4 linked regions of the Caenorhabditis elegans genome follow. The protein of the gene in region 3 interacts with the protein of the main gene of each other region in a biochemical or structural test. Each region holds a gene or a part of one and is shown on either strand. Other genes may lie near its edges.

Evidence for each region.
Region 1: of the proteins of prmt-1 (region 3) and skn-1, one has a biochemical effect on the other in vitro, tested with the Caenorhabditis elegans proteins (one study listed by BioGRID).
Region 2: of the proteins of prmt-1 (region 3) and rps-4, one has a biochemical effect on the other in vitro, tested with the Caenorhabditis elegans proteins (one study listed by BioGRID).
Region 4: of the proteins of prmt-1 (region 3) and rpl-4, one has a biochemical effect on the other in vitro, tested with the Caenorhabditis elegans proteins (one study listed by BioGRID).

What each region holds. Positions count from the first base shown.
Region 1 is NC_003282.8:5,657,010-5,662,281, reverse strand, and holds the start of skn-1 (Protein skinhead-1), read left to right. Parts: upstream 1-1,897; coding exon 1,898-2,026; intron 2,027-4,716; exon of another isoform or gene 4,717-4,866; intron 4,867-4,911; exon of another isoform or gene 4,912-4,964; intron 4,965-5,272. Other genes in the region: bec-1 (Beclin homolog), read left to right, coding at 1-145, 757-942. UniProt on the Caenorhabditis elegans protein: Transcription factor. Required to specify the fate of ventral blastomeres in the early embryo, and postembryonically for the development of the intestine. Directly regulates expression of zygotically expressed med-1 and med-2 to direct mesendoderm development.
Region 2 is NC_003282.8:7,082,821-7,086,600, forward strand, and holds rps-4 (Small ribosomal subunit protein eS4), read right to left. Parts: upstream 1,863-3,780; 5' UTR 1,842-1,862; coding exon 1,583-1,841; intron 1,537-1,582; coding exon 1,137-1,536; intron 1,111-1,136; exon of another isoform or gene 1,052-1,110; intron 1,036-1,051; coding exon 915-1,035; 3' UTR 876-914; downstream 1-875. Other genes in the region: Y43B11AR.3 (TruB_N domain-containing protein), read right to left, coding at 1-27, 76-281, 326-420, 552-787; deb-1 (Vinculin), read right to left, coding at 2,868-3,037, 3,247-3,279, 3,363-3,453, 3,507-3,608, 3,657-3,780.
Region 3 is NC_003283.11:20,266,877-20,271,934, reverse strand, and holds prmt-1 (Protein arginine N-methyltransferase 1), read left to right. Parts: upstream 1-2,223; 5' UTR 2,224-2,230; coding exon 2,231-2,500; intron 2,501-2,554; coding exon 2,555-3,175; intron 3,176-4,178; coding exon 4,179-4,334; 3' UTR 4,335-4,558; downstream 4,559-5,058. Other genes in the region: cdkr-3 (CDK5RAP3 protein homolog), read right to left, coding at 1-81, 1,590-1,721, 1,773-1,818; mdt-17 (Mediator of RNA polymerase II transcription subunit 17), read left to right, coding at 4,706-4,984. UniProt on the Caenorhabditis elegans protein: Arginine methyltransferase that methylates (mono and asymmetric dimethylation) the guanidino nitrogens of arginyl residues present in target proteins.
Region 4 is NC_003279.8:4,644,936-4,649,001, reverse strand, and holds rpl-4 (Large ribosomal subunit protein uL4), read left to right. Parts: upstream 1-2,038; 5' UTR 2,039-2,044; coding exon 2,045-2,216; intron 2,217-2,222; exon of another isoform or gene 2,223-2,276; intron 2,277-2,298; coding exon 2,299-2,561; intron 2,562-2,613; coding exon 2,614-2,721; intron 2,722-2,770; coding exon 2,771-3,265; 3' UTR 3,266-3,340; downstream 3,341-4,066. Other genes in the region: B0041.5 (Solute carrier family 35 member F5), read left to right, coding at 1-204, 261-562; B0041.8 (Plus3 domain-containing protein), read right to left, coding at 883-1,071, 1,121-1,389, 1,437-1,578; lmd-2 (LysM domain-containing protein), read right to left, coding at 3,377-3,649, 3,698-3,817.

The sequences.
Region 1 (5,272 bases), on a different chromosome or scaffold from region 3:
GTACATTAAGCTTCGTCGTAATGGCATCGACATGGAAACGTACGCATTGTATGGACAAGGAACTCCACTATCAGGATCATCTGGAATTGATCCTGGAATTCGTCGATTCTTGCAGTTGCTCGAGTTTTTGTTGAAAGAGCTCAAGGTTTGTGGGAAAATATGTTGCCGTTCGGAGTTGGTTAAAAAATTGGGAGTTTTCTTGAAATCGATCTCTGTACAGAATAAAAAAGACATATCCATCAAAAATAAGTATTGTGAATTTATTTTCGTATTACCCATTTGCAAAAGTTTATGCGATTTCTGCTTCAAAAATACAAAAATAGACAGATTTTCTGAACTTCAAAAAAATCGTGCACCTTTAAGGCCTACTGTAGTTCCCAACTCCCATTTTTCAACCGATTTACGTTAAAAAGGTATAAAACCAACCCAAATCTGAAAGAAACTAGTGAAAAAGAGTGATTTTTCCTAGTTTTCCGCCCGTTTCTACGAAATTTGGCGTGTTTTTACATGTTTTTTAATAAATTTTATTTAAATAATTGGGTGAACACTTGAGGAGTTGGGAAATACCGTAGGCCTTAAAGGCGCACGATCCCTTATGAGTTTGAGTAAATCGGGTTTTTTAAAGTATTTTTGGAGCAAAACTGTAAAATTTCACATCTCGTTAAGAATGGATTTACAATATTCATTTTCCGGTATAAAGATCGATTTTATAATTTTTTGGTTTCAGAAACACCCTAATTTTTATACATTTTTCAGGATCGAAACAAAAATTTCAAACCACCATATCAAATTCATGCTGATTCACTGGTTGACAATGGTGTCAAATACAATGCAGTTATGACACTCAACACAGATGTTCGATGGACTCGTGCAATGGCTCTAATGCTCACAGATCTCAAAGCTGCGTGTGCTCAATGCGATGCTCTCAGATCGCCTATTTAGTGATTTCACGGGATCAAATGTAGAATAACATTTTCAACGCTAGAAATTTTTTTTTCAATTTCTCAGGGACGCTTCTTTAAAAAATATTCAATTTTCATTGTGATTTCTAGTTTTTTTTTTCAAATTTTCTGCTGGAATTCTGCCTTTTCCCCAAACTTGTACCATATGTAAATATATTAAAAGTAAAGATTTTTATTGCAGTCTTGTGGAGGAAATTTTGTTATTTTTTGTTGATTGGTTTTGAAACCAATTCTGTTATCTAAAATTTGAATTTTTCCTAATTTATTTTCTCTTTCTTGTTGCTTTACTTGGTTTAATGATTATTAAAATTTTCTGAAACTGTGAAATCAAGTTCCTACCACTAAACTTATTTTAATCTGATTTTACTAATATTGCCTCAAAATTTTCGAAAAATGTATAACTGAAAATATCGAAAAATAAGGTCCAAATTTTGCTAAATTCTGGATTTTTTTAAAGCTAAAACACCGTTTTTTTTTTATTTTCGACCAAAATGTGTGGAAAATTTGAATGTTTTTTCGATTTTTCCAGTCATAAACGTTTTTGAAATTATTTAAATAAATATCACTATGAAATTCGGCACTTTTGTGCCAGATTTAGTTTTTTTTAAGCGAAAACCTCCCACAAACTATATTCCTCCTTTAATTAAATTTGAAAAAAAATACTGTAGGTTTTTGTAGACAATACAATTCCCCAAAAACGAAGTTTCTAGTTTTTTCTAGAATAGTTCTTGTAATTCCGAAAATTCCCGTTTTCTGAATTCTAGAAAAAAAATTGTTGTAACTCAAAATATTGCAGAGAAGGCCTCGTGTCGTCGTTCACGCGTTTCTCCTCCGTCGATCGGACTCTGGTCACTCAGCCGCGAGTCCGTGTCCGAATATTGTTGAGAGAAGTGTTCCACTCATTCTCACAGGATCTATCATAATCCAGTCAGTCGATGGGCGGTTCATCACGCCGTCAGCGAAGTACGTCGGCGACGAGACGAGACGATAAACGAAGACGAAGACAGTGCTTCTCTTCGGTAGCCGACGACGAAGAAGAGACGACGTCAATTTATGGAGTGTCGGTTAGTTTTTTTTTTGTTGGTTTTATCAAGTAAAAAGACCTGAAGAATATCATCATTTCACGGGAGAGCATGACTTTTCGTATCACTTTTCCAGTCAACTCTTGCAATTCTGATTCAATATTACTTGCATTTACAATTTTTGTTTTCTTCATGTTCTAAATCCAACTTTAACTAAGATTTGTAGATTTTTTCCCAAGATTTTTGGCTCAAAATTCCAGCTTTAACCTTAAACATGGCTTTTCTCTTCACGGATTACTTAATTTCTTCAGAAACAAGAAAAAAAACTAAAAGAATAACCAAGATCTGAGTGGAGCCTATTTTTAGCTTTTTTAAGCTTTTTCATCATCTACCTATATATTATTCTTGGAAGTTTCTATTAATTCGAGTAGACTAAAATAGGGAAAATACACCACAATTGAGAGTCGAGTTTTCAAAAATATGATTTTTCAAGTTCAAATTCAAACATTTTTTCTTATTTACACCCGGTTATAGATCATTTCTCAAAGACCGCGTAACATATTTACTTTGAACAGCTTTTCCTTCCCAAACTCCATATCAGACCACCTTCTCCTCTTATCACTTCAGTCACATCACTCTCGTTATCTAGGTCTCCCGCATTGTTACGTGTTAATCCCAACTATCTCATGTAGAATGTCACAGTTGCCTCGTTGTCTGAAACTATTCACGGCTCATTCTGTCTCTCTCTCTCTCTCTCTGTTGCAATAATGATGCCGGAACGACTATGTTCGTAAATGCCAGAGGACGAAGTCGAAGTCCTCTGAAAAGTAGAATTTCAAAAATTCAAGAAAACAATGGAAAGCGTGATCTTTGTATTTCAGAGCCGCTAAGAAGACCGTTCCCTTCCGAAATCCTTCTTCCGCCAGATCATCAGATTTTCAGATATTTTCCAATCTCTTCAATCTTAAACTTAGCCTAAAATATTACTGTCTGTACATTGTCCTCCATATATGTATATTATACAAACATCTTGCCGGAGTCGCTCCAAAATCGCAAACCCCCGATTGCCTATATGCCAGCTTGATAGCAGCATTACCATCCTGATAGACACCCCACGAGGCTCTTGATTTTTCGAACTTTTTCTGCTACGCCGACAGCGACTATCAACAACGGTTTTCCACCACCACGTACAATGTTTGATCAAACCGTTTGATTAAATTGACGCTCTCGGTGCAAGATGATATCATCTGGAAATGAGACGTTTAAAACCGAAAAAATGACTTGAATCATATCTGTGGTCTGATTGTGAATGGGTGCGGTTGACATGGTTAGTTGGGTTTTTGCACGCAATGGATCAAGGAATTGGTATAAGTTGAAATTCGGATCACAGCTTTCGATTTGTAAAAATTGAAAGTATGATTATTTATTGACAGAATATGAGTAGAAGCTTTCTTCTACTATATTCTAATTGAATTGCAATGTATTTGACATGCTGAACCTATTCGTTTTCACGGTTGAGGTCAAGAAATATAATTCTGAACATCACGTTCTACGAGAATTCATAAACAGCCAAATATGATGTCAAACTCACAGTACACTCAAACAGAAAGATTGAGTTCTTTGAGTTCCGACGGAACTACTATATTCTAAATTTCGCGATTTTTGATCATAATATCCTGAAATAAACAGGATATGTTCTGATTAATTGAGATTTTCAACCAAATATCAGACTATTATGCGCTTGTTTTTATTTTTGTTGTAGTAATAATAAAAATAAAAACACGTGGTTTGTAGCAGGTTTAGTATCATAATTATTTTTAGCCAAGATTTCGAAGAATTCTGATCACATATCAACAGGGAAGAAGGTGTGTGGATAATTCAATTTTCCCATGCATGTCTGACGCAGGTGGTTTGAATAATTCAGTTGTAGCTCAATTGTAGATGTATCCGATTTCCGTGTGCACCCAAACCTCTCTTTTTTAGAATATCGAAAATCTTTTCTTTTTCTCGTCAAGTGATATCTTTTGCATCTCTCATATATTTCTTATCAGTCTTGGCACAAACTTCAAACTGATATGCTTTATTTTTGAATTTTTGGTTCCTTTCCAAAAAAAAACTTGGATTTTTGGAAACGTGAAAACCAGCACGCATTTTGAAATTAGGCGTTGAGAAGAAATTAAATCAAAACAAATTTTTTATTCTCAGCAGTACCACCAAGCATTAAGTTTATTGAATAATTGTTTTAAACTGTTCTCTCGGTTTCGTGAGTTTCAGTTTCAATCGTTTTTCAAAGTATTCTGTACTAGACTTGTAACTTTTTTCGAAAAATATATCAACTTTTTGAATCAAAAATTAATGTTAAAATGTAGGAAAATGCTCGTTCGGTTTGAAAAAAAAATTTTTTTTGAAAACTTTTTAAAAGACGGCACAATTGAAAGTCTTTTTCAAACTTTTCCAACAAAAATACATATCATTTTCAGATTGAGCGAGCATTTTCCTACATTTTTATATTCATTTTTGTACGTTTGCCGAAATATTTTTCCGCACAGTCCTGCTCTGTACTACTTCTGTGTGGATTCATCAGAATTTAAGGGCAACGTGCTATGAAAAATTGCATCAACATCCACACACACATTCTCCAGATCTTCGGTTTTTCACCTCCCACCGTCTACTACCTGCCTGCAACAATTCGGTCGCACTCGCCCTCTCGCTACAACATTCACCTGCCGTTGTGTAGTCGTTTTGTAGTCGTCGTCTTTGGTGCAAGCGGCGAGCGACAATGCTGGTCTTATCAGCTTTCGTTGACTTCGTTACGGCCCCCACAGCAGCCTTCTCTTCTAGTTTTTCATTTAATTGGTCAATTTTCTGCGCACGTTAATTTACCGCGCACCAAGATTTCGGATCAAAAAGTTGCGATTTTCGATCTCCACAAGTCTGTGTCTATCTGTGTTCAGGCAAATAGACACGGCGGTCACAAAATTTTTTTACCTCTGCGTCTTCCCATTGGACATGCGCTTTCCAGCATTCTCTCGTACACCCTGCGTGTCTACAGTTTCAGCCATCTCTCCTCGTCTTGTGATCTACTCTATCGGCGCGCTCTCTCGTATTTGTCATCATTTCCATGGCGGCAAGTTAGCACAAATCGTAGAGAACTTAGAGAAATAAGGACACCGAGTGCACTGTTTCGATGGTTTTCTTTCGTTGTCTCTGGAAATCGCCTTTCTTTCTGTTTTTTGACGCCATTTTTCACTTGGTAACCTCAACACGACAACTAACTTCTTGTGTTTA
Region 2 (3,780 bases), on a different chromosome or scaffold from region 3:
ACGAGCTAATTCAAATGCTTCTGAACTCTTAAATAACTTTTTTTATATATTTATACAAGAATCTCGAATAATCACCTCCATATCTACATTGGCATGACGAAATGAGGCACTACGAAATTCAGATTCCAAGCGTGACAAAACTTTCTCAATTCGATGCTTTGAAATTTTCGAAACGTCTATATTTTCCGACTTTTTTATAATTCCATCGATTCGATACACATTTGTCCATGACTTTGACATGAGTTCTGGAATACTTTCACAACCATCATTGACACCGAACACTGAAAATATCAATTTGTTTTGAAAATTATTAATTCTACCTTACAGCAGACTCCAGAACTATTTGTGGCCAACGGTAGTACGTCTACCAATTGAATGTCCTCTTGTCTGATTGATCTGCCAGACACAAGTGGATGATATCTGAAAATAACAGAACATTCTTCTCGTTTTTATGCAGATCTTGTGAATAACCAAATTTTTGGCTAAAATATGTTAAATTTTCCAAAATCAAGTTATTGCTCTAACTTTGATATATTTTAAATTACGACTACCTGTAATCAGCCACTTCATTCCGGCCGACGACTACTAGAGCGCCTGACTTTTCATGAGCTTCGATGACTGGGATGGAGATCAGAGGAAGTTGAATTCGAGAAGTAGATTCAATATCAGAGACAGATTCGGCGATCTTACGAGTAATCAGCTTGATCAACCCAGCGGAGGAAATTCCCGAGTGCTTATAAACACAGAGAACACCGGACAAAGACTTCCAAATATCAAGATGACCCATATCCAAAAATGCAAACTTTAAGACTAGTCTCATATCTCAAAGCGATAGGTTTGCTAAAACAATTTCCCTTTTGAAGATTAAGTCGTTTTTTAGATTAACAATTTTATTTTTCAACAAAAACAACAGTTTAGTGCTTCTGGGCCATACGCTTGTCACGCTCTTCGGCGATTGAGAGACGGATTCCAGCTCCAGTTGGGAGGGAGACGAGAGCCTTGTTTCCCTTTCCAATGACGAAGACGTTGGAGATACTGAAAAGAAAAATTTGAATTAGCAACCAACCTTAGCCGGACTTTTACGACCCTCGCGGCCCCCGACCTTCATTCTCCTTTAGCCTTTTAGGCAAACTTACCGAGTGGCGAAGGAGTGTCCAGCAGAATCCTTGATGTGGATGATGTCAGATGCTCCTGGGAGACGCTCACGATGTCCGATAATTCCGACACGACCAACGTTACGTCCTCCAGTGACGTAGGCCAAATTTCCTGGCTCGAACTTGACGGAGTCGGTGATCTTCTGGGTGCTGATGTTGAAAACAATGGTGTCGTTAACCTTGACATGTGGGTCTGGGTAGCGGATGGTGCGTCCGTCAGTGGTGGTGAGGACTGGAACTCCCTTGTTGACGGTGCGGACAGACTTGACCTTGCAGAGCTTGAAGTCGGCCTCGGCAGCTTGGATTCTGTGGACGACGTATCTTCCCTTGGTATCGTAGAGCATACGGAAATACTCGTTGGTACGCTCGATGGCAACGACATCTGAAAACGCGAATACAAAACTAGAAAGAATACAAATTATAATTACCCATGAATCCGGTTGGGAACTTGTGGCAGGTTCTGACCTTTCCGTCGACGCGGACAACTCTCTGGGTGAGAATCTTCTTGGCCTCGGTGTAGTTGAGAGCGTACTTCAGACGGTTACGGAGGAACAAGCTGAGTGGAAGGGACTCGCGGAGCTTGTGTGGTCCTGGGTTTGGACGAACAGCGAAGACTCCTCCGAGTTTGTCGAGCATCCAATGGCTTGGAGCAGCGAGACGCTTAAGATGCTTCTTTGGTCCTCTCATTTTTCAAGTGTGTACCTCAAGCTGGAATTTTGAACTTTAAAATGAGAAATCACGAAAATGTAATGATAAAAATAGTGAGAGTAAGCATAAAATGGAACAGATTAACTACATAGCACAACTATCGCTCAAAAATGATATTTAACATCGTTATTTCATTAAAATATGAAAAAATTAAAAAATTTTGCGTTGAGAACAGGAGAAATAGGAAAAATCTCTCTAAAAATTTCCTTGCGTCTGGCCTAAAATCAATTTCGCTGCGAGACCTGGCAGCTGTACAACTGGCTGTCCCTTGGACGCAAGAAAGCGTGCCCTGTCGCACTCTCTGTCGTGAACTCCTCTCCAACGAACAATTTTATTTATGCTGCGACACGATTTCGATGAATTTTGTTTCGTTATCAGTACATTCAATGAAAAATTTTAATAAATTAAACTATAAAAAATTATTTTTAATATGCTGAAAATGTTATTTCTATTTTTCTTGATCCTATCGAAGAAGTTCGTGTATATTCAGATTTTGTGTTCCATTTTCGTAGTTTAAGACCAAAATCAAGAAATTTTTTAGTGGTTTAAATGTTTTTATTCACAAAAAATCGATATTGTTCAATATTTCAAGGAGAAACAAAGGCGACTAAAAAAAAGAAATTGAAAAATAAAAATTACATTCTACACAAATTCGATAATTTTTCTTTTGAAAAACATTAAACGACCATTTACTGATAAAACTACTGGAAAGAAAAAATTGGAAATATGGGGAGTTTTTAAGAATAATTCCAGCGAAAGGCAGTTTCAGTAGACAGTAAATGAGTAGAAAAGACGTATTTTTGTTGCAAAAGGCACTTTTTCGAGGGATTCATGGGGAAAGGAGAGTGGAAGATTTGGAGCAATTTCAAACTGAAAAGTAACATTATTAAGAATGAAAAAAAATTATTATGCAAAAAATTTAAATGACTAGCAAAGCAGTAGAAAAATACATAAAATATGCAAAACATTGATTGAGAAGAAAGAGAATCGGTAATGAACGGGGATTTAGAAGTTGGACCACATTGGCTTTCGGAGCCAACGGAGACGAAGTCCCGAGTTGGTACGGATTTTAATAGAGGCGGCTTCAGCAGCACGGACAACATCCTTCACAGATTGCATCAAGTTTTGAGCATTATGCACCAATTGTTGCATTGCTTCATCATCTTCTTCGCTGCCTGAAATTCAAGAAAATTATTTTAAAGAGTAGAAAAACGGAAATATTAGGAGAATCAAGGGAATCGGAAGGTTAAGGCACTCGATGTTTTATGTTGTCGTTCAATTTTCAAATTCACGCGAGAATTGTTAAGTTGTATTAAAATGGGACAAAAACTTCAAATTCAATCACACAATTAGTTTCCGAAACTCTTGAAAATCAATTATTTACCCTCGACTGGTTGACCGTATGGGCCGATGACATCTGAAATGGGTTCTGATAATTTAAATCAAATTTGAAAATAATTAAAATAATTTCAACAACGAAAAAATAAATTTCCAACTCACTGGCTGATCCGAGCATTGTCGCCTTGACTGTTGACAAGACCTTCAATTGTGTAGCTATCGTTGGAATTCTTTCTGAGACTTGAAGGAGTGCCTGAAAATGAAAATAAATTTTAAATCTTTAGATAGAATGAACTAAATGCTCACCGTTCTCATCTTGATATCTGTGCAAAGTCTGGCAAGTTGAACTGCCAATCTGGTAACTTCTTCAGAAGAATCTGCGATTGCCTTGGAGCAATTGATGAGATCCTTTAAATTTAACATTAAGATCACTATCTTCTTCTCTACAAAACTTACTTTCTTAGTTCCACCTTCACCTCTAACCAACTGTGATAGTCTAGCCATCAGAATGGCCATTCTCTTCGCAGCCGCCACAATATCGTTCTCCTGTGAACTCCATTGTTTCAGTTCGTTGTGCAAA
Region 3 (5,058 bases):
AGAAGCCCAGAAAGTTTTTCGTGTCTTTTTCCGTGTCGCGCAGGATTTCGATGATTTGGCAGCAGTGGAAATAGTTGATATCTGGAAAAAAAATCGAGTTTTTAGCTTAAAAACTGAATTTTTGGCAATTTTCAGGTCAAAAAAAAATAAATTGAATAAAAATCGATTTTTTGAAGATTTTTACGGCAAAAATAGCATTGTAATGCATTTTTCTAACTAAATTTGGCGAAAAATAATTTTAAAAAATGTTATTTTATCAGGTTTTTGCAGAAAAAAAGTTTGGCGCTGCTAATTCAATTTGGGGCGCTGCTAACACTACAAACTACAAGTTTTGGGCGCTGCTAATTCAATTTTGGGCGCTGCTAACACTACAAACTACAAGTTTTGGGCGCTGCTAATCCGGATTTCGAGCTGTTAATGGGAATTTTATCGAAATTTCTGCATTTTTTTCGTAAATTTCGGCACGAAAACTAAATTATAGTCGGTTTTCGCCGCAAAAATCACAATTTTATATGTTTTTCTGACTGTTTTTGGTGCAAAACTGAATTTTTGGCAATTTTTAAATTAAAAATTGAATAAAAATCGATTTTTTGAAGATTTTTACGGCAAAAATAGCATTGTAATGCATTTTCCTAACTAAATTTGGCGAAAAATAATTCAAAAAAATGTTATTTTATCAGGTTTTTGCAGAAAAAAAGTTTGGCGCTGCTAATTCAATTTTGGGCGCTGCTAACACTATAAACTACAAGTTTTGGGCGCTGCTAATCCAGATTTCGAGCTGTTAATGGGAATTTTATCGAAATTTCTGCATTTTTTTCGTAAATTTCGGCACGAAAACTAAATTATAGTCGGTTTTCACCGCAAAAATCACAATTTTATATGTTTTTCTGACTTTTTTGGGTGAAAAACTGAATTTTTGGCAATTTTTAGATTAAAAATTGAATAATTACGGCTTTTTTGACAGAAAAATTTATTATTTTTTCTATTTTAATGATTTTTCTCGCTAAATTTGGCGAAAAACGACTAAAAACTGTAATTTAATTGGATTTTTCTCAAAAAAATGGTTTGGCGCTGCTAACATTACAAACTACAAGTTTTGGGCGCTGCTAATTCAATTTTGGGCGCTGCTAAAACTACAAACTACAAGATTTGGGCGCTGCTAATTCAATTTTGGGCGCTGCTAAGACTACAAACTACAAGTTTTGGGCGCTGCTAATTCAATTTTGGGCGCTGCTAAAACTACAAACTACAAGATTTGGGCGCTGCTAATTCAATTTTGGGCGCTGCTAAAACTACAAACTACAAGATTTGGGCGCTGCTAATCCGGATTTCGAGCTGTTAATGGGACTGTTATTGAATTTTTTGCATTTTTCCGTAAATTTAAAAAGTAAAGGTAAAGGTTGTCCGTTTGGTTCAAGGGTGAGCCTAAGCCTCCTGCGGACAAGAGAGATTTTATTCGTTTTTCTGACTGTTTTTGGTGAAAAACTATTTTTTTTAATCAGATTTTTTGCAAAAAAAACTTGGTAGTCGAGCCTTTTTGTAGTTTTTTAACAATTTTTTGGTCTTTTTTGGGCAAAAAACCAACTAACACGCTCCTTGCAGCAGCTCCACGATTTTCGGCGACTCCGGCATGTCCAAAATGGCATGTTTGATCTTTTCTCGAATCGCCACCACGCTTTTTTGCCAATCTTTGTTGCAATGACGACGGGAAACCAGCCAATCTAAAGTTTTTGCGGTGTTTTTTGGGTTAAAATTAATGGATAACGAGTTACCAAGCAATTTACTGCTGTGAATATCGATTGGCAAGTCGTCTGACATGATTTTTTATCTGAAAAATTAAAATTTTAACTTAAAATTCAATTTTAAATTCAGAAATCTCCCAAAAAAAGAAGAAAATTTCGATGGAAAAATACACGTCAGCCACTGCGTAAATCGACACAAATTTAAAGGCGCATGCGGTTTCGTGTGTGTTGGGTCTCGCAACGCCCGCATTTTTAGGTGTTGATTTGAAATGAGTTTTCCTTTTTTTTTCGTCTTTTTCACTCGAATTTCATGATTTTCAGTTGATTTTCAATTGATTTTTTGGTTTTTTTTGCTGAAAATTAATTATTTTTTGATTAAAAAGCTTTTCGAACAAGAAAATACATGAATTTTGGCCCTAAAAGTGGATTTCAGAGCATGTGGATCTCACATTAATTAATTTAATAATTAACCTTTTTCCAGCGGGACAATGAGTACCGAAAACGGGAAGTCCGCAGATGCGCCGGTGGCGGCACCGGCTGCAAAAGAGTTGACCAGCAAGGACTACTACTTCGACTCGTACGCTCACTTCGGTATCCACGAGGAGATGCTCAAGGACGAGGTGCGAACCACCACCTACCGGAACTCGATCTATCATAACTCGCACTTGTTCAAAGACAAAGTTGTGATGGATGTTGGCTCGGGAACTGGAATTCTTTCCATGTTCGCCGCCAAGGCTGGAGCGAAGAAGGTTTTCGCGGTGAGTTTTTTTTGGATTTTTTGAACGGTTTTTAAAAATTTCCTTTTCCTTCAGATGGAATTCTCCAACATGGCGCTCACCTCCCGCAAAATAATCGCCGACAACAACCTGGACCACATCGTCGAGGTGATTCAGGCGAAGGTAGAGGACGTTCACGAGTTGCCAGGAGGCATTGAGAAGGTCGATATCATCATTTCCGAGTGGATGGGATACTGCTTGTTCTACGAGTCGATGCTCAACACTGTGCTCGTCGCCCGCGATAGATGGTTGGCTCCGAATGGAATGTTGTTCCCGGACAAGGCTCGTCTCTACGTCTGTGCTATCGAGGATCGTCAGTACAAGGAGGACAAGATCCACTGGTGGGATTCAGTCTACGGATTCAACATGTCCGCTATCAAGAACGTCGCGATCAAGGAGCCACTCGTCGATATCGTCGACAACGCTCAGGTCAACACCAACAATTGTCTGCTGAAGGACGTTGATTTGTACACCGTTAAAATCGAGGATCTCACGTTCAAATCGGACTTTAAGCTGAGATGCACTCGCAGCGACTATATTCAAGCTTTCGTCACCTTCTTCACCGTCGAGTTCTCCAAGTGCCACAAGAAAACCGGATTCTCGACTGGGCCAGATGTACAGTACACTCATTGGAAGCAGACCGTCTTTTATCTTAAAGTATGCGCTTAAAAATAACTTTTTTTCGGGTTAAATACCATTTTTCAACAGTTTTTCACCAAATTTAGTCAGTAAATGGTAAAAACTTCGATTTTTGGGCTGAAAATCGACCTTTTCACAGTTTTTGAAACAAAATTCGCCAAAAAATTAAGAAAACATGAATTAGCAGCCCCCAAAACTCGTAGTTTGTAGCTTAGCGGCGCCCAAAACTCGTAGTTTGTAGTTTAGCAGCGCCCAAATCTTGTAGTTTGTAGCTTAGCAGCGCCCAAAACTCGTAGTTTGTAGTCTAGCAGCGCCCACAATCGTAGTTTGTAGCTTAGCAGCGCCCAAATCTTGTAGTTTGTAGCTTAGCAGCGCCCAAAGCTCGTAGTTTGTAGCTTAGCAGCGCGCAAAACTCGTAGTTTGTAGTTTAGCAGCGCCCAAATCTTGTAGTTTGTAGCTTAGAAGCGCCCAAAACTCGTAGTTTGTAGTCTAGCAGCGCCCACAATCGTAGTTTGTAGCTTAGCAGCGCCCAAAATTAAATTAGCAGCGCCCAAATCTTGTAGTTTGTAGTCTAGCAGCGCCCAAAATCGTAGTTTGTAGCTTAGCAGCGCCCAAAACTAGTAGTTTGTAGTTTAGCAGCTCCCAAAAGCGAATTAGCAGCGCCCAAAAGCTTGTAGTTTGTAGTTTAGCAGCGCCCAAATCTTGTAATTTTGTAGTTTAGCAGCGCCCAAAACTAGTAGTTTGTAGTAGTCTTAAGTATTAAATTTGTGTTTTTTTAAAGATTTTTGCACGAATTTTGCACTTTTCTATCGATTTTTCGAGTAAAAACCGGATTTTCTGACTGAAACCGGGGTTTTTAGGCAAAAAGTTGTATTTTTCACTAATTTTCGTTAGCTAGAAAAACCCAGTTTTGTTTTAATAAAAAAGAAAAAAAATTGCAATTTTCACATCATCTTTGACTTCAAATTCGACACTTTCGATTCAAATTTTATTTTTTTTTTCAATTTTTCGATTTTTTCAGGACGCGCTCACAGTAAAGAAAGGCGAGGAAATAACCGGATCATTCGAGATGGCACCAAACAAGAACAACGAACGTGACTTGGATATCAACATTTCGTTCGATTTCAAGGGAGAAGTGTGTGATCTCAACGAGCAGAACACCTACACCATGCACTAATTTTTGCTGTTTTTTTTTTCGTCTTTTTTCTCACACTTTTTTGCCCCCAATTTTTACACTTTGTTGATCCCCCGTTGTTCCCCCCGAAACCTCCCGATTTCCGCAGATACTCGATTGTATATACCTCGATGCGGGTTGTTGTCGCGCACCTCCTCTATCCGCGCGCACGCTCACTCTGCTCGGTACTCCATTTGTTGACCTTTTTCCATAAAAAAAAATCTGCCAAAATTCAAGTTTTTTGCAATTTTTAAGCGATTTTATAATTTATAGGTTACGCAGCCTTTAGATATATTTTTAATATTCAATCAATAGTGAGCAGCGCCAAAAGAAAAACCGAAAAATTATTTTTAAAAAAGTTTAGCACAAAAAAAATGGAAGACGGCGATGAAGTGGTGGAGCCTATCGAGCCGGAATCCGAAGACATTGTGAATCTCACAAAACGACTAGGAGTGGATCTCGTGCTGGAATCCAATGATGACTGGAAAATCCAGGAAATCGGATTTGACGGTGTGGAGAGGTACCTGCAGCCCGAGACGTTCACTGATCATGTTGGAAAATTGGCTCGGAAGGTGGAATGGACGAAGCTAGTGGGCACAAAATCGCCTTATGAAAATTCGAAGGTTGATCCCGAAGATGAACTCGATGATGAGGTAGAAGCCGGCGAAAATCAAGAAAAATCGAATAATTTTCGGGAAAAAGTCAGAAAATCATCGATTTTCAGGCT
Region 4 (4,066 bases), on a different chromosome or scaffold from region 3:
ATGCAGTTTATCTTTTTGCATTTGGCCATTTTGAGGAAAAATATGGAAAACTGGATATTAATTTGATGTTTGGAGCAATCGGAGTCATCGCTTTGGTTCTTGGAACACCTACATTAAATTTGTTGGATAGATTTGGTGTAGAACCATTACATCCACTTCCAAATGCTACACAGTTCTCGTCAATTTTATTTTCTGCGCTCATTGGTGAGATTTATTGTATTAATGAGTATTTTTAATATTAATTTTTTTTTTAATTTCAGGAACAATTGTCGCTGATTACCTTTGGCTTCTTGCCGCTGGAATGTGTGATTCTCTCACCACCTGCCTATCAATGACTGTAAGCATTCCTCTGTCATTCCTCGCCGATACAGTGATTCGAAGCAAAGCTCCAACACTGGCACAAGTTATTGCATCGATTCCGATCCTCGTGGCATTCGTTGGCGCTGCATATGCACAAAATCCGTCAACTTCAATACGAAAAGGGCTTTCAAAACGAGTACGAAAAGTGGAATCATTATCGCCGGACAATGAACATCTTATGGATAGTCTATCGGACGAGTAGCATCTCTCTTAGAAACATTGTTTAAACTCTCTCAGAATCTCTATTTTCTCTTGTTCTACTGGTCGCTTTATAGGCATTCGAAGGTTGTGACACACTCCCCTCTGATCAACTAGTCATATTTAATTTTTTTTGCACTGTATTAAATTCGGGAAAAATAAATGTTTGAAGAAATATCGTTTTATGTTACTTTTATAAACTTGATATTTATCAGACAATTCAGATCGTTCAGTAAATCGGAAGTGAAAATTAATACAGCGTTGGCTTTTTGGTTTTGTGATCAACCCGGCATATTACTAGTAATTTAACGATTAATATTAAAATTATGCCACAAAGCGAGCTTTGGTGTCTTGTCCTGGAACATCAATGAATATTCCTCTTGCAGATGACTCAAAAATCTTGACATTCGCTTTACGCTTTCCATGTTGTTCCTGATCGAATGAATCCAATTCCGGAGTGTAACGGTTTTTGGGATAGTAGCGAGCTAGAGTGTTGTAGGCGGATTTCGGAGTCTGAAAATAAAATGATTGTTTTTAATTTCAAAATAAATTATCAACTTACCAAACTAATTTCCTTTCCAATGACCGTCCCAACTGGAAGATCAGTAAGTTTCACAGATGCCAGACAATTTGAGCGCATACACTCCAGAACCATCATACGATCGGGACGTCCTGGATCAACAACTCGAAGCATTCGGCATCCACAATGAGAGCATTGTTCTTCTGAAAACATACTGGTGTTCGAATCATCGTCCATTTTTCTTTTCGCATTTCTTCGAAATCCTGATGATTCAACTGACGATGTCGACGGTGTTGTGGAAATTATCTCACCTGAAAACTCAATTATTTAACAAAACATATTATTGTAAAACACATACCAACTGTTTCAACGTCGTTCAATTTTCTCAGCGTATCCTCATTTACACGGAAATTTTTCATCTGTGCCGCTTTCCGCAATAATTCCATTCGCTTGTAGTCGATTTTCACGAGAGGAAAGAATGTTGATGTAGAAGACAGCATCTATCCCAAACACTTATGTATTGAAACAAGTAAAAACACAATTAAACTATTTGAAAACGTTTTTAAGCAAGAAAATGGAAGGATCGGGTTTGAAATCAGCGGATACCGCGCCCTCGTAAATTGACACAAGTTGCCTGCCGACATTTCGTCTCATCGCGGCGAGACCCCGACGTTGGATACTCAGCCAATACCCTAATTTTTGCCTCCCTTTAAACACGATTTCCCTGTTTTCTGAAATTTTTTAGGAACTTTTTTCGTTTTTTCAATATAAAAAAGATTTTCGGTGATATTTTCACATTTGGAATGTATTAAAATAAGGTTTTGAATATCCTAAGCCTGTTTCGGTCGAAAAATCTGAATATTGCCTAAAATATCATCATTTTTTCTTTACTCTTCTCGCATTTTTTGAATCATTTTCTTTTAAAATTAATCTATTTTTTACTATTTCTGTTGATTGCAGGTAATAATGGCGGCCAGACCGCTCGTGACTGTGTACGATGAAAAGTACGAGGCCACTCAATCTCAAATCCGGCTCCCAGCCGTTTTCCGTACTCCAATCCGCCCAGACTTGGTGAGCTTCATCGCCGATCAGGTCCGCAGAAACAGAAGACAGGCCCATGCCGTTAACACCAAGGCCGGTAAGTGACATAATTAGATTCGGTTATTGATTATTTTAATTTCAAACTAACTTCTGTGTTCCTCAATTACTATTTATTTCAGGAAAGCAACACTCTGCTGAGTCCTGGGGAACTGGACGTGCCGTTGCCCGTATTCCACGTGTTCGCGGAGGAGGTACCCACCGTTCCGGACAGGGAGCTTTCGGAAATATGTGCCGTGGAGGACACATGTTCGCCCCACTCAAGGTGTTCCGCCGCTGGCACCGCAACGTCAACATTGCCCAGAAGAGATACGCTGTTTCCTCAGCTATTGCTGCCTCCGGAATCCCAGCTCTTCTCCAAGCTCGTGGACACGTCATCGATCAAGTAAGTAAACTTTTTTAAAAGTTTTGTTCCTATTTACAGTACTATTTTTTAGGTCGCTGAGGTCCCACTTGTTGTTTCCGACAAGGTCGAAAGCTTCCGCAAGACCAAGGAGGCCGTCGTCTTCCTCCGTCGCTCCCACTTGTGGGCTGATATCGAGAAGGTATACCATTTAAAAAAATTAAATTTGTTTTTAACGTAACAGTTTTAAGGTTTACAACTCGAAGAGAAACCGCGCCGGAAAGGGAAAGCTCCGCAACCGTCAACACAAGCAGAAGCTCGGACCAGTTGTTATCTACGGACAAGATGCTGAGTGCGCTCGTGCCTTCCGCAACATCCCAGGAGTCGATGTCATGAATGTTGAGAGACTCAACCTTCTCAAGCTCGCCCCAGGAGGACATCTCGGACGTCTTATCATCTGGACCGAGTCTGCCTTCAAGAAGCTTGATACCATCTACGGAACCACCGTTGCCAACTCTTCTCAACTCAAGAAGGGATGGTCTGTCCCACTCCCAATCATGGCCAACTCCGACTTCTCCCGCATCATCCGTTCCGAAGAGGTCGTTAAGGCTATCAGAGCTCCAAAGAAGAACCCAGTGCTTCCAAAGGTCCACCGCAACCCACTCAAGAAGAGAACCCTCTTGTACAAGTTGAACCCATATGCTTCTATCCTCCGCAAGGCTTCAAAGGCCAACGTGAAGAAATAAGTATTCTGTTGTTGATAAACTTTTTTGTTAATAACCGATTTAATTTGTTGAACGCATTGTTTAAATTTCCAGAACGATTTACTTTGACAACAGATTTATTTCAAAAATAATTTAAATATGATCATAAGCTGAGCTGCTAGGGTTATCACATTTCCGAAACGATTTGATGTTCCGATCTATGCGCTGTAAAATATCTTTCATAGATTTTTCTTCTCGGCTACTGTCGACCCGTTCAGTAGTGGCAGGCACAATTTTGCATTGAGTTTCTTGCAAAGATGGTTTGAGATTAGGTTGTTGTGAATTGAAAATGGGTATTCTAATGAATTGCTTCATGAACAAGGCGCTGGGAGACCAAAGCTTGTTTGCACGAACGAGAGATGAAACCTGAAATCGTACATGAACAACAGATAAGGAGAAACAAATGGAACCAACCGAACAATTATGCTTTAATGCTATTCTTTCAAGTGTATCATCGGTTTGAACTTGGTAAATTGTATATGAACATGGTGTAACTGGTGAAGATTGACTTTGGGTTGTGCCGTATCTTCGAACCTGTAGAATCACATTTTAAATGTGCTGTGAGGACCGATTAAGGATTTTGCTTTAAGTTATAGAAAATGATCGAATATAACTGTAAAATTATTTTTAATGAATTTTTCAATTTTGCAAAAAAACTAATGCAAAAACGAAAACTCGATAACCCGGAAGAAATCAAAATTTTAAAGAGAAAATCAATAAAACCATTGAATTTCGAGAGGGAATTAATAAATAATTAGTCTTTTTTTTTTGGAAAATAGGAAA